Oreochromis niloticus: one gene and its partners. The protein of the gene in region 2 interacts with the protein of the main gene of each other region in a pairwise test. Links are inferred from orthologs where the notes say so. Each region holds a gene or a part of one and is shown on either strand. Other genes may lie near its edges.

Region 1 (4,981 bases), on a different chromosome or scaffold from region 2:
CCGACAGGAACTGCACACAGGGCACTCCAGTTCGCTGGCCACCTGGTCTGAGGCTCAGAGACAGCTGGTGAAACTGAGCGGAGACACAAACCCTCTGCAGCTCGGCCCTCGCTGCTAAACCTATATCAAAACATGTATGCGCGACTTCCTCTCCCTCTGCCTTTCCCATACATAGCAGTGAAGACCGAGCGCAGGGAGAGCCGGAGGGTTGGGGCGGGGGAGAAAAATCAGTTGTTGCTATGGTAACGACAGGCAGAGAAGAACTAGGGCTGTGTGCTGGGTGGGGGCGGAGGGGTGCTTAGTGTCAGCTTGGAAACAGTCTTGCGGCCTCTGCACCTGCACCACACTTTGCATGACAAGCTGCAGGAAGCTGGAGGACAGGAAGTAGAGGGTGAGCATCACCAACAAAAAAAAAAAAGAAAAAGTGTGAGGCAGTAAACCAAGGTCTTTACAATGGGAAACCCTAGCCAAGCTATTTCTGACACCACAAGGGGGAAGCAGCCAGATTACAGCCAACAAATATATCTCAAGTAACAGCAGGACATCCTTTTACAAGGATGAGGTTAGCTACCGTTAAAATGTTCATCAACCAAAAGGAATCAGGGGTTTGGAGAAAAAGACAAAGCACTTGCAAGAAACAAATTTACAACAAATGCCACGCCGACTGCCCATCTTGGAATTGCAGCTATTCCGGATCAGGATGTGCGCTCGTTGCTGCTGAACTCACTGTCACTATGTGAAAACACGTCTGCAGACTGCATTGACTTACTTTGCCCTTGCCGGTTGTCTTGTTTTTGCTGCCCTTCGGCCGTCCTCTGGGCCTCTTTGGAGTAGGGGACCCACTTGGTTCCTGGCAATCACAATCAATACAAAGTTAGGGTAGTATACAACATCTGGACAATATTTTATCAACATAAGCTCTTAAAAATCTGGTTTATATTGATCAAGGTATATTGATCAAGGTTTTCAAATCAAATTATAGACATACAAAAAACAAAAAGCTCTCTCAGGTAAAGACATTGCAACTTATGTGCATTAAATGCTAAAAAGGTTGCCATGGTCCAGCAGATACAAGTTCACAAATAACAGATGTGTCATTAAGGGAAATATGCAACAGTAAGCACTTAGGGGATTACCGTCACATGCAAAAAAGCAAGGTACATTCAGCTCGAGGTGAGTTATCGTATTCATGTGTGGTTGTAAGCTTCGTCATGGCTGACGCGCCTCCTGTTGCATTTCTGCTGTGTTTACAACCGCAGCTCATAGCAACCGAGCAATTCAATAGTAAAAACACAGCTGGCTGAGTGACAGGTATATGAGCCACTGTGCGCTTCGACTCTGCTATGTCATCCATTACATGGAGAGCAGAGGTGGGTCGTGGGGGTTAAATCTGGTTTAAAGGCTTTAGGTTACAGGTTGCTTACAAACCAGTGAGACATGTGGCAAGTTTGTTGTTCTTCCCTTACAGTGATAAGGAAGGGGCAAATGGTCACAAGGGCATGCTGCAGCCATTTCAGGAGTCTTAATTTCATTGAGGGATATGCATGAGAAGCTCAGCTGCAATAATATCTACCTGAGCATCAGCTGCAGCAGACCTGAGTTAAAGGGTTTAAAAAAAAAAAAAAAAAATCTGCTCCCATCTTTTTAATAATATTAAATACATCCTTACTGTAATTTCTGGGATGCAATAATAATAATAATAATAATAATAATAATAATAATAATAATAATAATAATAATAATAATAATGATAATGATAATAATAATAAAACAGCACACTTTCTCCAATAAATAGAAGAACAGAATGGGACTACTTACGTCAGAGGTTTTTACCTGCGGCTGCTTACGGGGTCTTCCACGCCCTCTCTTCTCTGTGGCTTCCTTCTCTTTCGGTGAGACTGTCCCCTTGTCGCTCATGTTTGCGTAGCTTTTCAGACCTAAAGACATAAATCACACCGGTCACTCTTGCAGCAAGGGGAGGCGTCGAGTTCACACACAGAAAAATACACGGGCTATTAAACTCAGTGACCGCAACAGCAAACAAAAAAAAAGGGGGGGGACCGGCCTACCCACACACCGGTAACGCGTTTAACTCAATTAATCCGCGCTTATTTCCAGGTCTATTTCTGTCACAACCGTGCTCCATTACATAGCCGACGCTGCCACACAAACACTGGATTGGGATCAAACCGGCTTGCAGGGTACAGCCGGGACTCAGTAAGCGTTCGGAGGCCGAGCAAACCTGCAAAATACTACTGAACCCGGCGCTCCCCTGCCTCCACGACCATGTTTAGAGGCCCGTTTGCTGTAGTTGTTGTAGCCAACAATCGGGCCTGCGCATGAGACTCGCAGCATGTCTGCACGCCGGGGCGACGAAGAGATATCCCCCCCCCTCCTCCTCCGCCGCCGCCGCCGCCGACACACACATGCACATACACACAATGGCTAGTGTGTGCTCGTCTGGATTTGCAGGGTAAAGCCCTAGCCTGCATGGCGGCACCCATTTTTTGAGTGCTATAGAAAATGCAAGCAGAGCTCATTTGCGGGAACGAGAGCCCGGGCCGGAGCAACAAAAGACGGCTTCACATCTAAAGCATGCAGCGTCCTCTCGCCGGAGATCCCTCTCTGTAAAAATGCATTTAGGCGGTTGTAGCTTGCAAACTTTAGCTTGCCTTTCGACGTCTTTTTCTTGTGCACTCACCTTTATCGCTCGGTAGCAACCTCTGCTCTATATTTAAGACGAAATGTTTCCTTTAAGCCTAGCTGGTTGTACCCGGTTAAAAAGCCTCGCTCTGATCTATAGGCTACAGCTTTTATTCGTCAGACAACACACAGCCCGCCCCTTTAAAATCCCAGCTCATGCCGCTTTAAAAACAGTTATGAATTAAAATAAGAGCGGGTCAATATATATATACACATTTTTTAATGATTTATTTTTAAATAATAAAATAATACAAATTACCAGCAGGATGAAAAGTTTACTCCAACGACGTCCTATAAATAGCGCACGTGCTCGTCTTGTCTCCTACAGATAAAGGAAAAAGGCGCCAGCCAGGAGGAGTTTTGGGGCAATTTAAAGAGCCGCCCTCATGGGAGCTGGAACATTGGAGGGCGGAGATATAAGTGGGCCACCAACAGTACTACTAGCAGGCCAACCCCCCCCCGCCACCCACTTACGGATCCCTTTAATTCTCCAGGTTCAATCACAAAATATAAAAACATGTTTTTAAGTGGCGGGATATACTTTTAGGAACCAAGGAAAGAATGACTACTTACTGTATTTATATTGTCCCATACTACATTAACTTAACCAACACATACCACAGTCTCCACAGTAAAATGGTGAATGAACTATGACCTTCTCCAATGTAAACATAAGCTGCCTTTGAGCTCGGGAATGATTTACATCCTTTACGCAGGTAAAACACGACTCCAGTAATGCATTAAAATGAAAAGTTAAATATTTACTAAATGAATAACACAGTAATGCGTTTGTTTAACAACAAAATGAATATCATCATAATATAGTGGAAGAAAATGTACAAAATTGTCTCTGTATTGCAGAATATTACATAAAATAATTCAGTTCTGGTTTTAGATCTTAGGTACAGTACTACACTGATCTTCTATGTGTTTAAGGTTTGTAATATCAGTGTAATACATGTAAATAGTTCACCTGCATAAACCTCTGTGCAAATAACACTGTAAAACATGGGTGTGATGCTGTGATCCTGGTGCAGTTTCTTATGTTTCAGAAATGCTTCTATCTGTTGAGACGACATTTTACATAAATCACCTATTTGTTGTTAGAATATCTTTTTTAAATGAATTGATCCCAACCACCATCTACACCACTTACCATAGATACAGAAAATCTACACCCACAAGCTCTTTGTTGTATCATATTTAAATTTTAATTTATTGATCTCTTTATCTTTTTATATTTTCTTTTTAACTGAGTCCATTCTTTAGTCTTTCCAAGCTATTTCACCTTGTTATCTGTTTTTACTTTGTTGAGCTGAGTTTTTTATTAGCTAATTTCCATATTTTAAAATTTTAAAAAAAAGTAGTCTTAATTTTTCCTTCATCTTAAATGTTTAATGGTTAATAATATAGTATAGGGTTGTGTTTTGTGCTGTTTACCATGACAAAAACACCCCACTAAAAACGATTTTTAATTTTATTAAGCATTTGGGATTTATTTGTATTTTATTTTTTCTAAAAAAATTCCAACATTTGGATATTATTTTTAATATTTCACTGATGGCTTTATCTTAATGATAAAAAAAATATTAGCCACATTAAAAAAAAAGCACAAAATATTGCTTTTATGTTATTCACTCATTTTTCCTATGATATCACTGCAGCGTTGCGTTGTACCTGTTGAGAACAGGCAGTAGCTGTCGCTGTATTTCAGCAAACGTTAATCTGAGTACAAGACAACTCAGTTATCCCATCCTGACAATATGCCACCATAGAGGAGTTCCTTGAGTAAGCGCATGCAAGAGCCATAAAACACCCCTACTGCTACTGCTGGCTCTTTTATTCTTATAGTTAAATATGTCGACCTTTGATGTTGCTCCCGTGAAATGGACAAACGTCTGATGTTGATTGCATGGGTGTGAGAATGCGGATAAAAACAACCTAGGCTTCCAGTAGGTAGTATGCAAAGGTAGCCCACTTTCACACAAGGGGTTCTCCTGTAAATGAGCTACCCATGTGGAGTTGATGGGTCTGCTACTATCCAATTGAAAACAGATTTCTGAGATTGCAGTGGGACATGAAAGTGCTTGTAAGGGGACCTTTCGCCTTCTTCTGTGTGTATTCTACCTCTCTGTTTGTTAGGTCACAGCGGATCTCAAATAACTTACAGCAAACACACATATCAAATGACTCCAAAGGCTTTGTTATCAGCGGAGAGCACATGCATGTCAATACACTGTACATATATGACGAGGAGAGCGGGAGTTTGGTGAATAGG
Region 2 (4,981 bases):
CAATTAGCAATCTGGAAATATGCCTGGGGGGAGGCAGGAGGGGGACAAATCAGAGGACAGATAAGGGTGGGGGTGGGAAGGGGTGCAGTTTGTATGAGGTGGAGCGGGGGAGGAGAGCAGCAACAACAAAAGAGAGGAGGCTGCACTCTCATTTATTATTACAGTCCTGATTTACAGTCAGCCTGGAAGGTCAGAAGTATACCAGCTCGAGCTCACTGCGGGAGCCCTACAGTAATTGCTGGGTGCATTTAGTTCAAGGGACATCCACTGGAGTCATCATCTCCATCGCGAGCAGCCATGCAGCGCCCGAGAGCTACTCGATACATCCCCTCAATGTCATTTTCCGATTTATTTATCCTTTGCATAAAGTGTCACTGGGCTGATTATCATCATTCAGGCCCTGTCCTCATGCTTATCTCTTCCACAACTGATGGTGTCATGCCTGCCATCCATCACTTCCCTCGCATACTTTATCATGCCGCCTGATGGATGCAAACTAACGGCTCAGATTTTCACTCTGCCCTCCGTCTCCTTTATCCCACCTCCACACCCCCACCCCAAAATCCCCACATCTATCCATCTATCAGTCCCCAGTCACACCTCTTTCCCTCTCCTCTAATCCACTCGCACACTATGCCCAATTAAACCACGATCCTTGCTTTCCTCTCTTTATCCTCCACGTGCAACCTTCGGTGCACTCTCTTTCTCTTGCTGTAGCCTCATCCTCCCTTTTATTCCATTTACACGACCCCACCCCGACCCCAACAATCAATACAACCGATGGGCAGCGAGAATCCACAACATGCCGCCCTGCTCATTGTCACATCATCTTTGCCAGCGGGCTATAACCTTTTGCCATCATCAACATCCATCCTCTGTGAGGCTCACTGAGCATCACAGCATCACACTTGGACCTTTCTGTCTTTGCAGTGGGTCAGCTGCACAGCCCATTGAAGCATTTTACCAGTTTCCCCGGGATTCAATTACCTGCAGACGACCTCAAGTCGTTTCCGCCTGCCCTTCGACTACCGTTAGAGCAGTTTTCCTGGTCTTTAAAAAAAAAAAAAAAAAAAAAAAAAACAGACATCAGCTGAAATTTTTCTCTTGTACTATTGCATTACGGGGGCACTTCAAAGCATGTGTGTGTAGGTGTAGGAATGATGCGTGCTGTGTGTTTGCAAGAGAGAAATAAATAGCAAGAGATCCAGGCAGAACAAGTGAGAGGTGCACCCTTCGCCTCGGCAGTTCTTTAGTTTACTGTAACGTACACAGGTTGGTCCGGGGAGGCAGGAACGGTCGCTGATGCTTTGCTGTCTCAGCATTTGAGTCATAAAAGCAAGGGAAGACCCGTGTTAAGGAGGCCCCCCAGAGACCCTTCGCTCCTTCAAGCTCAAAAAAAGGCTCTGTTCTTTGTCTTTCTCTGTGGTGACCCCTCCCCCAATCCTTGTCTGCCTCTCTCTTTTAACACCTAGCGACAATCTGGGGGGGGGGACACGGAGCCATTAAATGCCCTCCATGTGTGTGTCAGGACTCACTGACAAATTATCCGCACATTTCAAAGTAATTTCATCCACATAAGTATAAAAATACAAAATCCCTCGCAACATGTGACAAAGCATTGGTTTACCTTCTGTGAGGCAGGCATGATGAATGGCTCTGATCTTTGCCGTGGTGTCTGGGACTGTCATAGCAATGGAGCCTGGATCATATTACCTTTGTCTGGTTTGGTCAGAGCAGCACCAAGAGGAACAAACAGCAAGCCTCGATAATCACAGCAAGCAACGCGTTTACTACTGAGACACTTTTCCTGCGTTTGGCTTGTTTTAATTAAAGGATTTGCTGTTGCACCCATGCATGATTATCTAGAGGGGGAAATGCGTGGGGGGGGGGGCTGTCAAAAACATCATCATCCTTCCTAGCTGATGCTTAGAAACAAACAGAAAAAACAGCGAAGAAGGAAAAGGAGGGCGGATGATACTGAGTTCAGTGAGCAGCATTTGTAACAGATGGAAACAAAACGACACAGATGTGAGAAACATATCCTTTGTGTTTACACTGCATTCATACCTGGCCAATGTCACCAACAACACTCCCGGTCCCGTCTATCCTTGGTCTTTTGCACTCCGCCCCGGACAAGTCAGTGAGGGCAGCGGCAGTCTGAGCGTCGGGCTCCGGATCGCCTCTCTTCATCCCTCGGACCACGGCTGGACCCCCGGCCGCGTTTGCATGGGGTCCGGCTGCTGTATCAATGTCCCTTTCCCGGTCCATTATTCCCCGACTAACGGGTAGCATAATAGATGCAACGTCGGTCGACATTAACATTGGACGGGAGACAGTCACCAGTCAAAAGTCTCTTTGGCTTTTTCTTTTCTTTTGTTACCTTTGCCTTCTCCTTTGGGTTTGTCAACGGCTCGATATTCACAATGGATTTGGCTTTTCCCAGACGGATAATATTGAACGGATTTTCATCAATATACACAAGCTTACACTGTTTATTGTCTAACTTAGCCTTAGCTATGCGAGACAAACCTTTAAAACCATGGCAGAATCAAGCAAAAAGGACATTAAGTACAGTTGTCCCTCTCTTTTTCCCCCCTGAAAAAAGAAAAACGACGACAGTGTCCTATTTTAATAAAGATCACACGTCCGACTCTCGGATGCCTGACAAGCTAATTAGCTAGCTAACATCGGCTAGCCTGCTAGCATTACATTCCGCTAGCTCTCTTTATAAATGTGGCTCGGAGAGCACACTCTCGCTGCCAAGAATAGAAAATGTTGGAAATTAGCTTCGAGTAATACTACTCCTTCTGCGGGGCCAGCCAGTCACCCTCTCCTCTCGCCCCTAAACGTGTGGGGTTTTTTCTTTTGCAGTGAACTCCTCTGTGGTTCCTACCAGCTTTCCCCTTGAATTCTCTCCCTTCTTGTCCGTTCCCTCGCCTCGGTCTGCTGTGGATGAGTCTTGGCGTGCGTACCTTGGCTACCGACGAACACGATTTCCTCTGGTCTCAGTCCCAGTTGGTGTAACTCGTAGTGTGGAGGGAGCGCGAGTGCGCTGATCTGCGGTCAGATTTGCCCGTGAACACCGGGCTCGCGGACAGGGGGGAGTGAGGTAAGGCGGGCTGGTCTGAGGTCTGCCTTTCCTCGGTCTCCTTCTCCTCCTTTTTTCCCTCCTGATCCCACCACCTCACAGCTCCCTCCTCCTCTGCCCTCAGTTATTATGTGTGCCTATGACAAGAGGCACACATATTACTATTCGTCGGATTTATTATTATGTGTGCCTATGCCAAGAGGCACACATATTACTATTCGTCGGATTTATTATTCTTATTATTATTATTCTCCATCTTCCGCCTAAATTTCGGCACGTATCACGCCCCGCAGTTTTGAGACAAGCTTCATATATGTTACCTCATTTTGTGTGGCCGGATCTGGAATGGTGTGCTATGACTTTTGGTGTTTATGAATTTTATAGTTTTTTAAATATTAATATTTTAGTGAAAATTTTCCCGCGCTCCTCTGCCAAACAGTTTTGACATTAGGATTACATATCTTAGATCATTTTGTGCGGCTGGAGCTGGACTATTATGTTGTGACTTTTGGTGTTTATGACTTTTATAGTTTTTTAAATATTAATATTTTAGTACAAATTTAGGCCAATTCATCTTTTGGCGCCAAATAAACAGACTTCATTTGTGGTGTCTTGGCTCTCTCTAGTGGTATACCGGGAGTAGTACAGCCGAAAAGATTTATCCTTGTGTTGAAAACTCCATATCCCACAATTCATAGCACGCCTCTACAGAGTGAACAATGGCGGCCACCACTTCGTTTTATATGTCTTTTATTCATGTTTCTAGGTCACAAAATAAACTTTTAAGATATTTTCAGGCGAGAATGTAGGTGTGTAAACTTCAAATATCTGCTTGTTTTATCAAGACATCCCATATTTAGCGACAGTGCTCTGACGACGTCGGTCCTGCCTGACAGCTAGCCGGCTACCTAGCTAGCTGCCGCACTTGGCTGCAAATGGATAGCGAGGGGACTCTCTCTGTCGTTTCACCTCCCCGGTCTCTCGCAAATGCTCGCACAGAATCGGAGTTACAGCTGGATGTGGAAAAAATAACTGAGTTGTTTGGTGGTGCTATAATGCGGAGCTACAACAGTGGGCAGCTATCCACCGGTGTATGACAGAAAGGACATGCCGCGACCGCCGATCGACCGGTGTTTGCTAATGCGGAGGTCAATCGTGGATCAGGGAAAGCGAAGGCAGGAGCGTGAGGTGAACTGAATTTCAGGTAAGAAGTTATGACCTGCACTCTATTTGGGTCAGATATAAACCGAGTTTAGGTGTAGTTTATTTAGCAGCAGTTCTCTTATGTGTTGCTGATAGCCGGCTAGCTAGCTAGCGCCGCTAGCATAGTTAGCTAGCACCGCTAGCGACCCTTCATGAAAAAGCACCCAGGCTTGGCTTATATTGAGGCGGGTGAAACTCGTGTCAGCACCCGGTCGCTCGCCGACAGTATGTGTTTTAGCTGGACTTATTTTTCGTTTATATGGACCGATGATTTATTTATTTATTCATTTTAGTAACGGTATAAACAGTGAAAGGTGGTGGATTGGCCAGATGTAAACTTCAAATATCTGCTCGTGTTACCAAGACATCCCATATTAGCTCTGATGTTTTCGGTGCCTGCAAAGAGCTAGACAGGTAGCTAGCTAACCCGAGCTGGCTGTCTTTTTGACTCAGGGTCATAGCTGGACTTATTTTTCGTTTTTATGAGCCGATGAGGGTTTTTTTTTAGTAACGGTACAAACAGTGAAAGGCGGTGGATTGTCCAGATGCTGGTCGATGTGGAAAAAATAACTGAATTGTTTGGTAGTCGCTGACGCGGAGCTACAACCGAGGGCAGCTATCCACCGGTGTGTGTCAGAAAGAACATGCGGGGAACGAGGCGGCGAGGCGACCGCCGATCGACCGGTGGTA
Region 3 (4,981 bases), on a different chromosome or scaffold from region 2:
AGACCTGCAGCCATCACTGCAGCCTGCTGCTCGGCCACCCGCGCTGCCAGTTCTTCCTGCAACACCCAGATCACAAGGCCTCAGAAACTACAAGTTCTGTACATCTGAAAGAATCCAGTGTGTGTTCATGCACGGATCAAAATGAAACTACCATTCGGGCCTGTCTCTGAGCGTGAACTTCATTTCTTTTTAGTCCAACATGGGCAGGAGGAGCAACGTACACAGTTGGTGCTGCCTGGATGATTGATGGTGTTGGTTTGACAGGAAGTGAGGCTACTTGTCGTGTAGGTGGGCCTGACACCATTGAAACCATATCACCAACCTGAAAGAGACAAATTTGGACAGGGAGGGTTCGAGATGACGCTCGTCCATTTTACATGATCTCAGTAAGACATGAAGCATTCTGCACACACAGACTCATGTTTGTGAACCTGAGGTGGAGCAGCCATGGGTTGGATGGGCTGAGAGGGTCCCTGAGGCATTGGGCCCTGCAGGGAAGGAGGGAGCATCATGGGTGGAGGTGGAGGAGGTCGAGGCAAAGGAGGTGCTACTGGAGGACCACGCATCATCTGTAACCTCTGACCACCTGACAACACAGAGTCAAACCCACAATCCAAGTTCAGCTGGGACAAACTTCATCTACACTGGTTTTTGAAACCATTTCAATGCTTCCCAACACTCTGCAAACCCAACTGATTGGTTTGGGTCTTAGAGAGTTTTCAGCAGATTCCTTTAAACTCCGTCTTCGGGTGGAGTTAAAGTGATAAGCCTGTGCTGTATTAATACCCTGTCCTGAAACACTGACCATCAGGTCTGCATGTTCTGTTTGCTTGTTATAACTCCAAATAAGGCAGATTTCATACACTATATGCTACATGTAATGTTCAGACACATCCACAAGGCAAAAACACCAAGTTTTCAAAAATTACCTGGTCTTTGCAGAATATGTGGAACAAAAGCCGGTCTCATCATGGGAGGAGGAGGACGTACTGGAGGAACTGACACAGACACAGAGTGAGCACAGCGTGGCGGCATCTGAAATACTGCTTAAGCCTCTAAACTTTGCTCAGTGCACACATAAATGAGTCTTAGCCAACATGAACCAAAAACAATCACAATAATGTAGATATACAAAAAGCTGGATGGCGTTTAAAAGAAATGGACCCACGTCTCTGCCTCCGCCTGTATATTCACTGTTTTTGCTGTGGGCGGGTAACTGGGGGGTCTTTTTTGAGGAAACAGCTGATATCGTTATCCATTCCAGCTACAGCCTACAGCTTTCATCAGCTTTGGTTTCCATCCAAATTTGTTGAAACACAAACCAAACCACTGAACCACGAGCTGGCAGCAACTGTCAGCGTGCGTCGAGGTGAGGAAGAGTTTTTACTGGATGGTGACACTCTTGTCATGTGAGCATTTGTCTTTACCTGGTCCCACAAAGGCTTGTGGTGGAGGTCCAACAAAAGTTGCAGCTCTGGCTTCTAATGTCTGCTGGACCTGAGAAAGACCACAGAGTGTGTGAGCGAGAGAGGGTGCTGTTTTTATTAATCGCATCAAGATCAATACTTCTATAACACACAAACCTGTCTGTAGGTGTTGGTTCCTATAATGGGTCGCACCACTGGAACTGTTGGGACAGCCAGAGCTACAGGTACTGCCTCCATGACAGGTGGACTTCCTGATACTGGTACTGGACCACCGAGAACCTCCTGCTCAAAGCTAGAGAAGCAGAGTGATGTTTGTATTGGATTTCATTTTTAACAGTGTTCTAGCATTCTTCCTCCTCCAAACACTCAATTTTGGTCTCATCTGACCACAACACTTCAAACGGGCCTGTATGTGGGCTTTCCTGAGCATGGAGACCTCGCGAGCATAGGAGGATTTCAGCCCTGTCACCTTCTCAGCCAGCAGCTTGGTGATGGTCTTGTAGCCCATTTCTTGTGTAGGTCCACAATCTTCACCCTTACATCCTTGGAAACTTCTTGGTCTTAGCCATGGTGCAGAGTTTGGAATCTGGATAGATTGATTGCGTCTATGAACAGCTCTCTTTTATACAGGTAACGAGTTGAGAAGGCTCCTAATGTCAGCTCGTTACCTGTATAAAATACACCTGGGAGGCAGAAATCTTGCTGATTGACAGTGGATCAAATATTTATTTCATTCATCAAAATACTAATTTATTTATAACTTTTCTGAAATGCATTGTTTTGGTTATTGTTCTGTCTCTCACTGTTCAAATAAACCTACCACTAAAATTATAGACTGATCATTTCTTTGTTTGTGAGCAAACTTACAAAATCAGCTAGGGTTCAAATGTTTCCCTGACTGCATCTATCAAACTCAGCCCTTCACTTCATTTTATGTGCAAACAAGCTTTTCCACCAGAAAGTTCCATTCAGCACAGCACACATTTGTGTAAATGCAGCAAATGCACATGGCCACACTAACAGATGGCCGATACACAAAGCTGTGGAAATAAACTGGAATAAAAGTCATGAAACATCCTTCAGGTGTAACAGTGAAGAGCAAAGTGAGTAATCTGTGGATCACAGATAAACTAGTAAAGAGAAAGGGCAGCAGCTCTATACGCTCACTGGCCGTTTTGTTAGGTACAAGTGTTCACCTGATTTTTAATACAATTATCTATTGACATGCCTGCAACTCAATACATTTAGTTTTGTAAAGACTATCAAGATGACTGCTGATTCAAAGCAAACACCAGAATGAGGAAAACTGGAAATTTCACTGAGTTTGAATGTGGCTGGATGCGGATGTCAGCTGGGATTTTCCTGCACAGCTGCCTGAGGGGTTACCTGCACACTGGATGCATCTGTGTCTCTTCCCAGAGGCAAACTGGGATCTTTTGTTTGTTAGGCAAATGGGCACTACAACACTAGTTTAATTTTGTTATTGTGATATTTAAAGTGAAGTGTTTCGACTGCAATAGTTTGATCATGTGCAGCGAAACCTGCTGTTGGCATGACCTGAATACTGTCTGAGTGAAGCACCTTGCTAATACTGAAAGGCCTGAGGACACACTCATGCATCCTCGCGTCGACATGCAAACAATCACGGAGTTCACATCAAAAACCTGCGACGTAATCTAAGAGGTGCTAGTACAGCTCTGCGGCGTGTATGTGCAGTGAGGATGTTCCGGGCTGACTGGTTGTACTTACAGCGCCATCTCAGCCTCCATCTCCTTCAGACGCTCCTCGCCGGACTTGAGCGCCATGCTGTGACACAAACACAGCAGACATGAGCTCAGCGGTACAACAGCTGCATTCAGAAAAGTGCCTCCGTCTCCACACGGCTGACCAGTGTAACTCTTACCTTCAGCTGGAGTTTGTACGCTGCCTACGATGACAGACTGGGCTACAAGCTAACAAGTAATGTTTAGCTTATTAGGCTCGAGCTAAACCAGCAACGAGCCCGTTTCTGCTGCTGTTCTCAGCCCACTCACTTACCGCACTAACCCACTTCCACACTAACAGTAGTAACCAACTAAAGAGGAATGGGATTATGCACTAACAAATACACATTCACGGGCTACTGAGCCACCGTCCTAACGTTCTTCTGCTTTGCCTTCTTCTTCGTCTTCTTGATGTTGAGCGATTGACAAACAGCGAAACGGTGCATTAGCGCCACCAACTGGTAGGGCGTGTGAATCACGTTGCTAAACCGAAACAAACGAGTCTTAAATAACTTTAAGTCAGCTTTCATTCTTCTAACCCTTCTCTCAGCTTCACAGTGTAATACAGCTTGCTCTATGGTTTCCTCTTCTGTACAGCACTCACATTTGTCTGAATCACGTTTGGCTGTTATGAATAATGTTTAAAACTGTGTGATATAAATTGTGACATGACTGTCTCCTCTCTCCTGTTCCTTCCTGTGCTTCTCATTCTCCAGTTTTCCTTTGGCATTTGGAAATCTGGTGTCCTCTCCTTTCATCGTCTCATGTTTCCTTTACTTCATAAAGTGCTGGAAAAATAACTGTATATCCCATTATATGAACCCTGTAGTTTTTAAACAAAGGTCAGACAGAAATCTTGTGTGAGATATAATTACATTTTTTTAGTTTACACTCAAAGCTGTTCCAGTTAAATTAAGTCAAAATTAGACTTTTGATTTTTAATACAGCACAATAATAAAATAACTAAGTTGCTTAGACTACCCCTCCCGATTTCACCTGGATGATCAGCTAATCCTGTGGATATTGGACTTTTTGACCAACAGGACAGAAAGTTTGGGTCAACAACTCTCTTTCTGGTCTCCGTTCCACCTCCACTGGCTCCCCCCAGGGCTGTGTGCTCTCCCCCCTGCTCTTCATCCTCTACACCGATGACTGCACATCCACACTGCCCAACTGTCACCTGGTGAAATATGCTGACGACACAGTTCTCCTGTCGTAGCTGTCAGGCCCCTCACAACACCACGGGCCCGCTCTTCAGGAGTTTGTAGAGCAGTGTGACAGCTCCAAACTTGAACTGAACGTGAGCAAAACCAAAGAGATGGTGGTGACCTTCTCCAGTAGGCAGAGGGATCTGGCTGCTTCAGTCACCACCACCATCCATGGGAAGCCAGTGGAGGTAGTTGAGGAGTACAAATACCTGGGAACCATCTTTGACAACCTCCTGAACTTCTCTGCCAACACAGAGGAGATTCTCAGGAGGTGCCACCAACGGCTATATCTCCCTAGGAAACTCAACTCCTTTGGAGTCAGCACACCCATCATGATGACTTTCTACTATGCCTTCCTGGAAAGCATCATGACGTTCTCCATCACCTGCTGGTTCCACTCCCTCAGCCTTCAGAACAGGAACAGACTGCAGCACACGGCATCAGTGTGCTCTAAAATCATTGGCCTGCCTGTCAGAACTCTGGCACAGGTTTTCAGCCAACAGGCCCTTAGACAGGCAGCCAAAATCATCCATGACCCCTCTCACATTCTTCACCCCGCATTTCAATGGCTCCCCTCTGGGCG

Evidence for each region.
Region 1: the proteins of RNA binding protein fox-1 homolog 2 (region 2) and hmga1a interact in a two-hybrid assay, tested with the Homo sapiens proteins (2 studies listed by BioGRID and IntAct, with this or other methods). The link is inferred for Oreochromis niloticus from reciprocal best matches to the Homo sapiens genes RBFOX2 and HMGA1.
Region 3: the proteins of RNA binding protein fox-1 homolog 2 (region 2) and rbm42 interact in a two-hybrid assay, tested with the Homo sapiens proteins (2 studies listed by BioGRID and IntAct). The link is inferred for Oreochromis niloticus from reciprocal best matches to the Homo sapiens genes RBFOX2 and RBM42.

Annotation. Positions count from the first base shown.
Region 1 is NC_031984.2:12,118,484-12,123,464, reverse strand, and holds the start of hmga1a (high mobility group AT-hook 1a), read right to left. Parts: upstream 3,116-4,981; 5' UTR 2,963-3,115; intron 2,872-2,962; exon of another isoform or gene 2,702-2,871; intron 2,638-2,701; exon of another isoform or gene 2,243-2,637; intron 1,938-2,242; 5' UTR 1,918-1,937; coding exon 1,819-1,917; intron 851-1,818; coding exon 770-850; intron 1-769. UniProt on the Homo sapiens protein: HMG-I/Y bind preferentially to the minor groove of A+T rich regions in double-stranded DNA. It is suggested that these proteins could function in nucleosome phasing and in the 3'-end processing of mRNA transcripts.
Region 2 is NC_031969.2:9,183,117-9,188,097, forward strand, and holds the start of RNA binding protein fox-1 homolog 2, read right to left. Parts: upstream 3,169-4,981; 5' UTR 2,323-3,168; coding exon 2,068-2,322; intron 1-2,067. UniProt on the Homo sapiens protein: RNA-binding protein that regulates alternative splicing events by binding to 5'-UGCAUGU-3' elements. Prevents binding of U2AF2 to the 3'-splice site.
Region 3 is NC_031976.2:1,904,467-1,909,447, forward strand, and holds the start of rbm42 (RNA-binding protein 42), read right to left. Parts: upstream 3,586-4,981; 5' UTR 3,331-3,585; intron 3,234-3,330; 5' UTR 3,233-3,233; coding exon 3,177-3,232; intron 3,115-3,176; exon of another isoform or gene 1,897-3,114; intron 1,720-1,896; coding exon 1,584-1,719; intron 1,498-1,583; coding exon 1,428-1,497; intron 999-1,427; coding exon 930-998; intron 587-929; coding exon 432-586; intron 323-431; coding exon 152-322; intron 57-151; coding exon 1-56. UniProt on the Homo sapiens protein: Binds (via the RRM domain) to the 3'-untranslated region (UTR) of CDKN1A mRNA.